Linked DNA regions of Ovis aries. The protein of the gene in region 1 purifies or fractionates together with the protein of each later gene. This does not show direct contact. Links are inferred from orthologs where the notes say so. Each region holds a gene or a part of one and is shown in the gene's direction. Other genes may lie near its edges. The genes, in order: FBXO45, MYCBP2 and FBXW7.

Evidence for each region.
Region 2: the proteins of FBXO45 (region 1) and MYCBP2 purify together in Homo sapiens (affinity purification with western blotting; 7 studies listed by BioGRID and IntAct, with this or other methods). This does not show direct contact. The link is inferred for Ovis aries from reciprocal best matches to the Homo sapiens genes FBXO45 and MYCBP2.
Region 3: the proteins of FBXO45 (region 1) and FBXW7 purify together in Homo sapiens (affinity purification with mass spectrometry; 4 studies listed by BioGRID and IntAct, counting the BioPlex papers as one, with this or other methods). This does not show direct contact. The link is inferred for Ovis aries from reciprocal best matches to the Homo sapiens genes FBXO45 and FBXW7.

The regions. Positions count from the first base shown.
Region 1 is NC_056054.1:191,912,588-191,916,745, forward strand, and holds the start of FBXO45 (F-box/SPRY domain-containing protein 1), read left to right. Parts: upstream 1-1,302; 5' UTR 1,303-1,454; coding exon 1,455-1,757; intron 1,758-4,158. UniProt on the Homo sapiens protein: Component of E3 ubiquitin ligase complex consisting of FBXO45, MYCBP2 and SKP1. Functions in substrate recognition but also plays an important role in assembly of the complex.
Region 2 is NC_056063.1:52,794,686-52,798,334, reverse strand, and holds part of MYCBP2 (E3 ubiquitin-protein ligase MYCBP2), read left to right. Parts: intron 1-433; coding exon 434-591; intron 592-1,595; coding exon 1,596-1,795; intron 1,796-2,811; coding exon 2,812-2,961; intron 2,962-3,649. UniProt on the Homo sapiens protein: Atypical E3 ubiquitin-protein ligase which specifically mediates ubiquitination of threonine and serine residues on target proteins, instead of ubiquitinating lysine residues.
Region 3 is NC_056070.1:5,397,571-5,401,886, forward strand, and holds the start of FBXW7 (F-box/WD repeat-containing protein 7), read left to right. Parts: upstream 1-1,500; 5' UTR 1,501-2,132; intron 2,133-4,316. UniProt on the Homo sapiens protein: Substrate recognition component of a SCF (SKP1-CUL1-F-box protein) E3 ubiquitin-protein ligase complex which mediates the ubiquitination and subsequent proteasomal degradation of target proteins.

The DNA.
Region 1 (4,158 bases):
AGTTTTCCAAAGTGAGTGGTTGAAGGGCTGTGGCACTGACACTAATAAGAAAGAAAAGAATCTGGGCGACTAAGCTTGGAGGAAAAAACATCTAGGAAGAAGGGACTGGCAAGTAGTAATCAAACACCACTTACCAGAGAGTAGAGATGGTAGGTGCTGTTCTTTTGTTTTTACTAGAAAACAAGAAATGGATTATTCACAGCAGGAGAGCTTTCGAAAAGATTCCTTACTACATAAAGGAAAGACTGGAATTAACTGGTGGAATTAACTACTAAGGGAATCTGTGAACCCTATTATTTTAACAATTACTTCGCAGTGTTGCTTTGAGAGTTATATAAACTCTCCCGTAAAGGGCCCCAGTAGATTGCCTGTCTTACATGATGGTTATTATTTTCTCTTACCGAGCATTCTTTAAAGGCTGTCGGAAAACGTTCTGGCCACCTAGGAAAACTAGTATGACTAAATAATGCTGAAATTATTTCCCTTCCAAATAGTGTTCTTAATTATAGCCTCCATGTCATTCTCCCTACTAGAATGACTAGTTAAAAACACACCTCAATTCGCCTACTAACCGGTGGGTTAGTAGGAAAGACTGGGAAAGGCCATATTTTGTCCAAAATAATGTAGCCCTTAAAGAGCGCTTTAAGGTTACCCAAACATGGGAGGGGGGCGGCAGGTGTTCAAATGTAGCGACCTCTCACGCTACATACAGGACTAAGGGAGAACAAGAGGGCCTGACCAGGAAAACACGACCTCAGCTGCCGAAGGAAAAGGAAGATCTAACTCAAACTCAAGGTGGCGGAGCTAGGACTGGCTAGTAAGGAGAGGGAAGTTTCCTGTGTTAGGGTGGAATGGTCCAACAGGAACGCAAATGACTCAGGTAAACCTTATAGGAAAAGGGGACCAAAAAAGCCGACGCGAGGCCACTAGATCAAAAAGGGGAAAAGACGGAGAACAGCCCGAAACCCACCCGCGCCAACCTCATACCTGCGCTTCCCGCTTCCCACCGAGGCGCCTGGCGATGACCTCACCGACGGGCGCCCAATCCCATCTAGCGTAGGGCGGGAGGCGCCGCAGCCAAATAGTCACATCCGGGGCCGAGAGGAACCGCGCGAGCTGGGCGTGCGTCCTTGCTTCGTGCCCTCAACCCGCATGGCGGAGCCACGGGCGCGCCGCGGGGAGGCCGTACTAGTCGGGCGGTTCCGGCGACCGCGCTGAGCCGCGGGGGAGGGGCGGGGGACGCCCGTGCAGTCGGTGCGTCTGCCCTCAGTGAGGCGGGGCGCGCGGCGGACGCCCCCGGGCAGGGGCGGGAGTGGTTTGGAGGGGCCGGGCGGTTAGCTGTGAAAGGGGCGGTGAGCGAGCTGCTCCGGTCTCAAGGCGAGGCTTGGCCTCTGGAGCAGAGACGGGGGGAAGCGGCGGCGGCGGCGGCGGCCCTCGGGCCGGCTGGTGAGGCGATGGCGGCGCCGGCCCCGGGGGCTGGGGCAGCTTCGGGCGGCGCTGGCTGTAGTGGCGGCGGCGCGGGCGCCGGCTCGGGCTCTGGGGCCGGGGGCCGGTTGCCCAGCCGGGTGCTGGAGTTGGTGTTCTCCTACCTGGAGCTGTCCGAGCTGCGGAGCTGCGCCCTGGTGTGCAAGCACTGGTACCGCTGCCTGCACGGCGATGAGAACAGCGAGGTGTGGCGGAGCCTGTGCGCCCGCAGCCTGGCAGAGGAGGCTCTGCGCACGGACATCCTCTGCAACCTGCCCAGCTACAAGGCCAAGGTGAGGGAGCCCCGCGCCACGCCGCTGCCCCCTGTCCCGCTTCTCCGCGCAGCTCTCAGTGTTTCTCAGCTAAGCTTCTGAGTCAGAAGCGCTTTCCCACCGCTCCAGTCAGTACCTTACCTCGCCTCCCCCGCCATAAAGATCTCTTTGGGTTGAAGTTCTGCTCCTTAACCCACCCCACTTCCGTGATGTACTTTTTAAAGGATCAGATGGTTTTCCATCCTTGATTTCCATCATTCATTCTACTTTCCACCGTCTGTTCCCTTAAAAACAGGCCATTGTTTTAGCTTTCAATACTCTAATCCTGTTTTTCTCTCTGTCCTTTATTAGATCATCTCGGCTGCCTTATTGACTTAGTTTCTAAGATTTTTGCTTTCAGCTCACGTTTTCCAAGCTCTGATTTATAACTGTTTTATTTTTGCCCAAGTACCTTAAATTCCCTCCGCTATGTTACAGGCTTATAAATAAGTGTGGTCCAAGGCATCTGCTAACTTTAAAGATAAAGGCTTTGAATAGAACATCGTACCATTGGCGCCACTTAACAGTCGTAATATTGCCATGTCCCACTATTACTGGCTATTGCCTTGCCAACTTTTTCATAGTTCCACCTTGCTGGTGTGTCTCTTATGTTCTGTTTGTCATCCAACATGCCGTTTCCATTTTTGGTGCCTTCCCCCCCCCCCCCCCGCCCTCTGCCAGACTCTTGTGCTTAGTCTTGCTTTCATATACAAATAAAAATGTCAAGTAACAGATCTTAGTAGGACTGAGAGCATTCCTCAAGCAATATAAACAAATGGCTGTAAACTTGAGTTCAGTTTGGATGGATACAGCTATTTAGGATTGCAGTCACCAAGAGTATACATGAGAGAGGATAAAGTCTGATCTAGAATATGGTAAACATAAAAATACATTAACAACTAAAAAAGGGAAAACATATCTTTTTAATGCTAGACTGCCAGTGGGGCCAGAGTAAGTAAATTTTCATGGAAAAAATTTTTTCCATGTGAAATAAATGTAAAAGTGGTCTTCTGTAGTAAAATAGGTTTCAGTTTAGTAAGGTTAGGATAAGGATTACTACTTTTAAATATGTCAAATTGTTTATTAAGTGAAATAACATGTTGAGTTGCAAGGACAGTTAGTAGATGCTCGATGGATAATAATTGTAATTCATATTAGTAGAGGGCAGAAGATTGTTTTGTCTTACTGTGCCTAATAAACATATAGGTTTCATGAATCTTATTTAGTTTTTATTTTTCCATAAAGTTTATTATTTTTACTTATTTTAAATTAAGACATTTTTGTAGTTGGCCTGTAATAGACATGTTCACATGATTCAAGATTCATGTAGTAATATGTAATAAATAATGTATTCATGTGAGTCAGTGTTGAAGCAAAGTGATCTAAAAGCAAAATGTCTTCCTTTAGTCCTTATACCCCCACCATCCAGATTGGAGGCAGCCTATGTTACCTGTTTTTCTGTATCCTTGCAGAGGCTTATAAATTTTAATACTTTGTATGCCTTTGTACTACTGGAACTGTAGGTATTATAGACTTGTGCATTCAGATGTTGCAGGACTTTTCTTGAATATCTTGAAGATAAAAGATTAATTCAAAAGGATATACATAGCCTAGTAGGAAAGTCCTCAGTCTAGGAGAAGAGGAAAAAACAATGTATAGAAATAACTAGTGGTTATTAGTTAGAAACTAGAATTTTAGTGAAAGAGATTCACAAGTTGAGTGAACAGCTTTAGAAGGGTTGAGATTGAGATTGTATTTGAGCTGAATTTTTAAAATGGGGAGAATATGAACATTTTACTAAGAGGAAATACCCTGAACAAAAAGCAAGACAGTGGAAGGCAGAGGATTTGAATAGTATATATTTTTATTAAAAAAAAAGATGAATGTTAGGTACTATGCTCAGTTTTGCAGATGCAATGCTGAATAAAAACAAATACAAATGCTTATGGATGCTTTGTGATTTGTGATGAGTCCTATGAAGGTTAGATCCATGGTGCTCTGAATGTTAATAGTGGAGAATTTGACCTAAGTAGTGAGGTCAGGAAAGGCTTTCTCTGAGAAAATAACACTGAGACCCAGGAAAAAAAAAAAAAAAAGGATAAATAGGCCAGAGAAAGAGAGAAGAGCCTTCCAGGAGGGAACCTGGTGAGTATGAGTGACAGAAGATAATCAGTGTGGCTGGACCACAGAGAGCAAAATTGAGGCAAGTTTGATAAAGATGAAGAGGTGGACTGGAGCCAAGCAAAAGGAAGCCATTTTAAATTGTAAGTGAAGGACAGTTAGGAGTATGGGGGTTGGTGATGTGATAGTTTTACATTTTTAGGAGGTTATTGTGACTTAAGAATGGACAACCAATTGGAGGGGAACCTTCGAAATATGTATG
Region 2 (3,649 bases), on another chromosome or scaffold:
GAGGAAAATTATATCCTTTCGTTTTCCCTCTTATTAGGTTTCCTCGTGTATATATTTTCATTGTTCGTATTCGGTGCTGTTATGAAGATATCTGCCTTTTTTTCCTGAATATCATGACATGTGTCTTCCACCAGTGCTTTTGCTTCTGAGAGAAGCTTAGAATATTTGATGCCTTTTCTTCTTTTTCATTTAAAATGCAAAGTAGATTTAAGAGAAGCAAAAGTTTTAAGATGCAGTTCTGAAATCAGTCAAAATGTGATTACATTTGGAAAGATCCAGTTATGGCTTAAAGAGATATTGTCAAGTTGGCTTTGAATTTGTATTCTTCCACATGGTTCACACATTTGACTACGCTGTTAAAAACTAAGTAAATACAGTGTCAACATCATTCCCTTTTTCTCCTGAGTTATCTGTCACCTTGTTCTATCTGCAGTTTGGAAACTAGTCCCATAACTGATACTGATCTCGCAAAGAGAACTGTCTTCCAAAGATCCTACTCCGTTGTTGCTTCTGAATATGATAAACAGCACTCCATCTTACCTGCACGAGTTAAAGCCATTCCTCGAAGAAGAGTTAACAGTGGAGATACTGGTAAGTATAAAGATGAAAAAGAAGATTGAGTGATCCTAATGATTTTATTTGTAGATTTTTTAAATCTAATTTTTGAAGGCAGAGGAATGGATTAATTTTAAATCGTGGTTAAACATTCCTTCTGTGTGACACAGCCATAAATGTGCCTCTCTAAATTTTACATCTTAGTTGGAAGAGACACCCAGACATCATGCACTATTATTCAAGAATAAACGGATCTTTAAAATATACTACTTGTTAGGTATCTAAGCTGAATATTGCTACCATTATCCCTCCCACTAAGCTTCAGTAAATCAGCAGTTCCAGTGACTTGACACTTTCACAATGATATTCTCAATAGAAACTTATTAACTCTTGTAAGTACTATCACTCAAACAGATAATAAAAACTGGAGATACGGCTAGCTCGTAATCAGTGAAAAATTTTAGATAATCTGGACTAATTAGTATTGGCAGCCCCAAATTGAGGCTAATTAATCCTGTCTTAAGAATAAAGAAAGAAATCCAAGAAGCAAAGGATAACATGTTAGTGGTTATCAGGCCAACTACTTATTAAACGAAGATCTGACCTAATATTTTTAGGTAGATGATTATATATCTTGTTGAAGATCTTCTAGGAAAATATTGAGGATATATTCAACAAGTATCTTTGGGCTCTTAATGAAATACCATTTGTTACAAAGCAGTCCTTTAGAAAATGCTGGGGATTCCATTTGGGGAGAAAATAAGTCACATTTTGTATAGTGTTACAGAAAGTGTGAACTTTCAGACCTGGGTTCAAAACTTACCTTTGAAAATTAATAGGTATATAACTTTTAAGTAAGATATTTAAATCTGAGCTTCAGTAAAAAATTGAAATCATTAAGATTTGTGTCAAATGCAAAAACAAAAAAACCCCCAAAGACACTTAAGTGAATAAGCTGGATACTGTTTTTTGAAATCACTTTAAATATATTAATATGTGTTGCCTATGAAAATTGATACTTTTTTTTTTCCTTCAAACAGAAGTGGGTTCTTCGCTCTTGAGGCATCCATCTCCCGAGCTGTCCCGGCTCATCTCAGCCCACAGCTCCCTCTCCAAAGGAGAACGGAACTTCCAGTGGCCAGTCTTAGCCTTTGTTATACAGCATCATGATCTAGAAGGTCTGGAAATAGCAATGAAACAAGCTTTAAGGAAATCTGCTTGTCGAGTTTTTGCTATGGAGGTAAGAATACATGAATAGGATTATTAATTCATTAATCATAAGCTTCATATGATGGTTCTGTTTAATGATGTCAGTTTTCTACTGAACAGAAATTGTGACAAATTAAGAGACCTCAGTGAATAGAAAATACTGTGTTTGCAACAAAATTAAACTCCTAGGTTTAGGAATATAAATGAATTTGAGTTTCATAGTTAAGCACTCTGAAAAACATCATTTCTACATTGCTTTATTATCTGAATCGTGACAATATCTTCTTAAAAAAGCTTTTTATAATCACAGTGTCATTTCAGTTAGAGTAATCATGCAAAAGGGATCCGAAGTAGGGCTTTTGAATTATAAATTTAACGAAGATAATTTATCTGGGTCTCTGTTCTCTGAAAATGGATCACTGTATATCATAGACTTGTATCTATAACAAATCTTTTTTCTTTATCATGGAGTAGAAAGTACTCATGATATTCATCAGTGGGAACCACATGAATCTATATTTAAGTAAGTAGCAGCTTGTGTAGAACTTAAGAAACATTCTAAATGCATGTTGATTCTAAATGCAAGTTGGAAAAAATGTGCTTGTGTAAATTAATATTCAGACAAATTTTTGAAATGAAAAGTAGTTTGGAAAAGTATTTTTGAATTGCATTTCATAGGTATTATATTCCCTACTATTAATTTTTAAATTAGGGCCAGAATTATTGACAGTGTAAGTTCAGTATACTTTCAGTGAAATGACAATCAGTCTTCCTAGAGTCTTCCCATAAAATACTTGAGTCCCAGAAGGTTCTCTTTATCTTGGACTTATTTAACATTGTTTATTCAGGCTTTCAGGCTTCCCTTGTGGCTCAGCTGGTTTAAGATTCCAGCTGTGATGCAGGAGACCTGGGTTGGGAAGATTCCCTGGAGAAGGGAAAGGCTACCCATTCTAATATTCTGGCCTGGAAATTCCATGGACTATATAGTCCATGGGGTCGCAAAGAGTCAGACACGACTGAGCGAGTTTCACTTTCTCTTTCGTGCAGGCTTTCAACTGGCTTCTGTGTAACGTCATCCAGACCACTTCTCTCCATGATGTTCTGTGGCATTTCGTGGCGTCTCTGACTCCTGCTCCAGTGGAACCAGAGGAAGAAGAGGATGAGGAAAACAAAACAAACAAAGAAAATGCAGAACAAGTGAGTGAGACTCTTGGTTTTTTATTTGTCCATATTTTTATAGCAGAGTCGAACTCTCTTCAGGTAATACCATAATTTACATGAGGTCATTCACAGATTATATAACCTAAAGGCAAGAATACCAATTCAGAGCTATGAGCAACATACTAACTATGCTGAATGAAAGTTCTCTGTCTCCAGAAACACTGTCAATCAATTCTGGTTTCTCACTAGCCATCACTGTCACACACAAAGCACTCAGTTGGAAGATATATACTGTACAGTGCAATATAAGATGAAGAAGGCAACATTATTATAGAGAAGGGCCATCTACTTCACAGCATTACTGTAAGGCACAGAGAATGAAAATGAGATTGTGCCTGGACCTGAAAGTCAAAAAGTTTGGCTAGAAGAGACTTTAGTTTTATAGGAGGCAGCCTGTATCATGGAAAAGCGTTGACTGTGGGCCCTGGAAGCCTGGGTTCCAGCCACATTTATACCTCTGTAGCTGTGATTTATGGATCTCATTTATATTTCTACAGTAAAAAAGTAGAAGACTAAATCCTCAATTTAAAAAAGCTGTCAGAATAGATAGAAAAAAACAAAAGCTCGGTACTGTTTATAAGCATTGTACCTTTTAAAACATTACGACAGAGGAAGATTAAAAGTAAAAGGTTAAAAGTAGAAAAAGATATACTGGATAAATACC
Region 3 (4,316 bases), on another chromosome or scaffold:
GAGTGCCTTAACAGCAGTAAGACCTTTTCCCCCAGCGTGTCTGACATGCCTCTGAAAATGTGATAGAGCACAGCTTTAGCTAGATTTTAGAAGTTCTTTTTTTAAATCCTATAAGAAACTTAAACTGATAGTACTTCACATTTTCCATGTAACATGCTCTTTCGATGAATAGCTGTGTAGCAGCAGCACGGGAAAAGCAGGGTTCTTGGCAATCCCAGCTCAATTGCATCTGCAGATGAGGATTTAAAATTCTGTGCAGCAGACAGTACCTCCAGCAGGCGAGTAAAAGGTTACTGCATTATTTGCTTGTTTGTTTTCACAGCCTTTATCTACAAAAGGTTTTGTAAAGATGCAGTGTGAAGTGCATGCCTGGTTTTCGACATTCTGGAAATTGATTTAAGTTTACATGAATTTCAAAAGGGCAGTGCAAGGTGAAGGAAGAGGCGATGCTAGCTCTTTTTAGATTTAAACCAAAGAAACTGAGCATGAGACATACGCAAATAAAGAACCTACAGAAAATAGGAAGTTTTTTAATGCTTTTTTAAAAACATTAAAAAAATTTTAAATACATTTTACAATTTTAAAATACATTTTTAATACAAGATATTTTTTTTAGTTCTTAGACTTCTTCCTCAAAAAGAATGCTGTTAACAAAGACTGATAATTGTGGGTCTATGAATGTTCATGAAGTTACATTTGTTTTGAAGTCTAATTGTTTGGGAAGAAACTATAATTTTTTATCAATGTAACCCTCTCTTCTCCTGGAAATTATAAGGTGGATTATAATAACATGATGTGTGTATATATATATATATATATCTTTATATATTATTGGCAAAAAATCCTAGAGGATGGCTAACATACTTAACAGTGTTTATGTTTTCAGGGTGGTTTGTGTTTTTTCAATCTTTTTAATGAGATGCAGATAAACAGGTGGGAGAAGATTTAGTATCAAAGCAACCAGGTTTTTGGTGGCTTATCATCTATTATCAATACCTGTCTATAAAGTCACCCACCCTTTCCTTCTCATTTTAACTCTTCTGACATTTATGATGGCAGGGACCTCCTTGGATTCTCTTTCTTAGTTGCTCTATCCTTATCGACACGACTGTCTTTGATATAGTATTTTATTGCTCCGTAATTCTCAAGTTCAAGTGCAGTATTGAGAAGGAATTTTTTTACTTTGGCTATCAACCACCATCCTGCTCTCTTCAAGCCATACTCAGAGATTATTATTAGCTACTGTCTAAATTTTGTTTAAAAAATAGTTATGCCTATGTCTTTTTTCTTTTAGATTGAATAACAAGATTGAAAACAATCCTATAAATTAATCTACAATATAGAAGTAAAATCAGCTGTTATTCTTACTTTGAGCGTTTGGCAGGCTTCCTGAATTGTAGAGTCAGAAAGGGTCAGCAGTTCTGATTGGTAAGTTAAAGAATCCGTCCAGTAATTTGCTCCCTGTTGTTTCTCAAAGCAATGCAGCAGCAGTTCTTTTCCAGATATTGAGCGGTTCTTGAACTGAGTGTATGGGGACAAGCAAGGGTGGGGCTCATTCCTGTTGGTTGTTGAGACAGTGGGCATTTACAGAGGGAACAGGTTGGATAGGCTGAGCCGGAGGAGTAGGCAAACAGATCTAAACTGATGGAAGACAGAAAGAGTGGTTAGTATAATTTGGGGATATTTTATCTTGAGTTTGCTCCTTTATTAAGTACTTGGGCTTTAATATAAAATAGTTTGAAATATTAAAGCACCTTACCTTCTTTCTAAGGAGTAGCCGGGAGACTTCTGTTTTTAATATTGAGTTCTTCTTGACAATGAGTTTGTGGCTGGTATCTTCTGTAGGGAAGCTATTGTTTTATTCTTTTTTTTTAACAGTGTTTCTTTCAGCCTGAGGGCTGCAGAATGAGGCAGTTAGCCAGTTTTGAGTATACATGGGACATTACTAGTTCTGAATTTTTAAGTTAAATTCTTGTCTGATGAACAAGTCAATGTGTGGCTGTGGCTGCAGCGTTGTTTCTTCCTTAATGAAGAGGTTGAGCCGTTCGACCTGCTGCTCCGATCTGTTCTCTGGTAGCCATACATCAGACCAGTTGCAGAGATTATCCACCGAATGTCCTAGACAACCAAAGGTAACTACATAGATTTATTTCAAATAAAAATATGCAATTAAAATTGATGCCTTATAACTAGGACCAAATAATTAAAAATAAAAGATCAATTAAAGATGTTCTTCGCAGTTTTCTTGACCTTGCAGTAGCTATCCAATATCATTTTGTCATCATCAGATTGTGTAGCAATGGAAATGCACTGCAGTAATTGATTTTGTAATAGGATCAGGTGATTTACTAGCTGCACTGACAACCACTTGCTTGCTCGCTCTGAGCAGTAGAGCTCTCTAATGGATGTTGTGATTGCAGCCCGGAGTTGCTGGGAGACTGCTGGCCACTTAAAGCAGCAGCATGTCTTTTTAAAAATGAATAGTGAATTTTTCTTTTTTCTTTCCTGTGCTTTAAGTTTTGGGTGAGCTCAGTAAATTTTATACTTAGTTTGAGTGCCCCCATGAAATGTTAGAGATTAGGTGTTATTTCATCCATCAATTCATCAAAAGTAGCCTTGAATATGATGAAATATAATCTCTGCTCCCTACTCCTAGTTGAGCGTCAACATATGTATCAACATACTTTGGTGTTGATCGTGAGAACACATCTCTAAACTATAACAATTTATGTTAACCTGTGTCATCTAAGTGAAACAGAATATTCTTCACATATGTACATTTCACCAGCTTCAAACTCTAGCTATAATTGTGATACTGGCATTGTGGTGAGTCCTTGTACTGGGGGTTTGTTAGAGCTGTCTATTCTTTTCTGGTCTTCTGCTTTCTTAGTGTTCTCATAGATGTAACAACATTTAGAAAATCGAGTTGGACCAATTCTAAGGAATGTTGATGGAAACATAGACGCTATTTTAAAGTAGTGTTTAAGAATATAAGTATTTAAAAACCTGTTATCCACGATTATGAATTTTCAGTGATTATAGTTTAATAATCTTTATTTTCATCTTTTATGCATTTTAAAACAATTGATTATAAATATAGAAGTATAAGACTAAAGCTTAAAATAGAACTAGTGTTCTGTAAAAGACTTTCAGAAACTGGTGCCTAAGATTTTGACGACTTTAAAGTTCTGCTTAGGGCTTTACATGAGGAAGGAAAATTATCTCCCCTCTCTACATTCCTCACCAACTCCTCTACTTGTTTAACTATCTAACATATGAAGTATTTTGTACAGAACTTGATATATAAAAGTGCTGAATTCTCTTTCCTTCCCTAATTTACATTATTTAACCATGTATTTGTTTTTGCCATGATAGAGATGCTATTTCTTTCAACCACATCTAAAACATTTACATTAATTAATCAGTGTTAGTAATTTGCTATAGAAGAAATTGAGCATAAAATTGCCATTGTATATTATAGTCAGACCTCCCTGGGAAGGCAGCTTTTCTTTGTAATGTACTTAAATACTTGCCCTTGAAAGATGAAAATATTTCCAGTATCACTCTGCACTTTTCCTAAGTCCAGATACTTAAAAGTTTAATTATAGAAGATGGTAATATAATTTAAACACTAGAGTTTATAATCTTTTATTATTCAATGGTAACAAGTTTATTGCCCCCTGCCCCCTCCCCCCCAAAACCTCTATGAACACTGATAACATGAGGATAAGGGTGTGAATATCATATGAGATTTCATCAAAGATAATGTTGAAATTTCATATATATTGAAATGTTGAATGGTAGATTACCAACAAATCAGTCATTGATATAAGTTTCACTGAAGTGGTGTACATTTAAATAGGAGGGAAGGAAGTCAATACCGAAAGTGTTGACTACTTTTTTAGAAGATTGGTGATAACAGATAGGAGAGAAGTGTGCTTTGTAATTCAGCAGTATTTCATGTGAAATAAATAGGTAATTCAGTTGGTGAGGTTCTAACCCTAGTGGAACTGCCTTTTATTAGAGCTCTAGATCAACCATTAAAAGACTTGGATTTAATCAGACTCCTGTCACTGATCTACTTGATGACTTTAATCAGTTTATACTCGAACATTTTTAAGGTTCCTTAAGCATGCTTCTAAAATGTCCACTAAAAAGAAATCAATGTACTCATTCCAGTGTGAGGTATTATAATACTTGACCTGGAAGCAAGTTGAAGTTAGGAGGAAGGATGAAATTTCTTAAGCAGGTTTTAGGTGATATTAATGTTTTTCATGTTTTTTTGATGGCGGGGGAGCATGAGGAGAGGGACACTT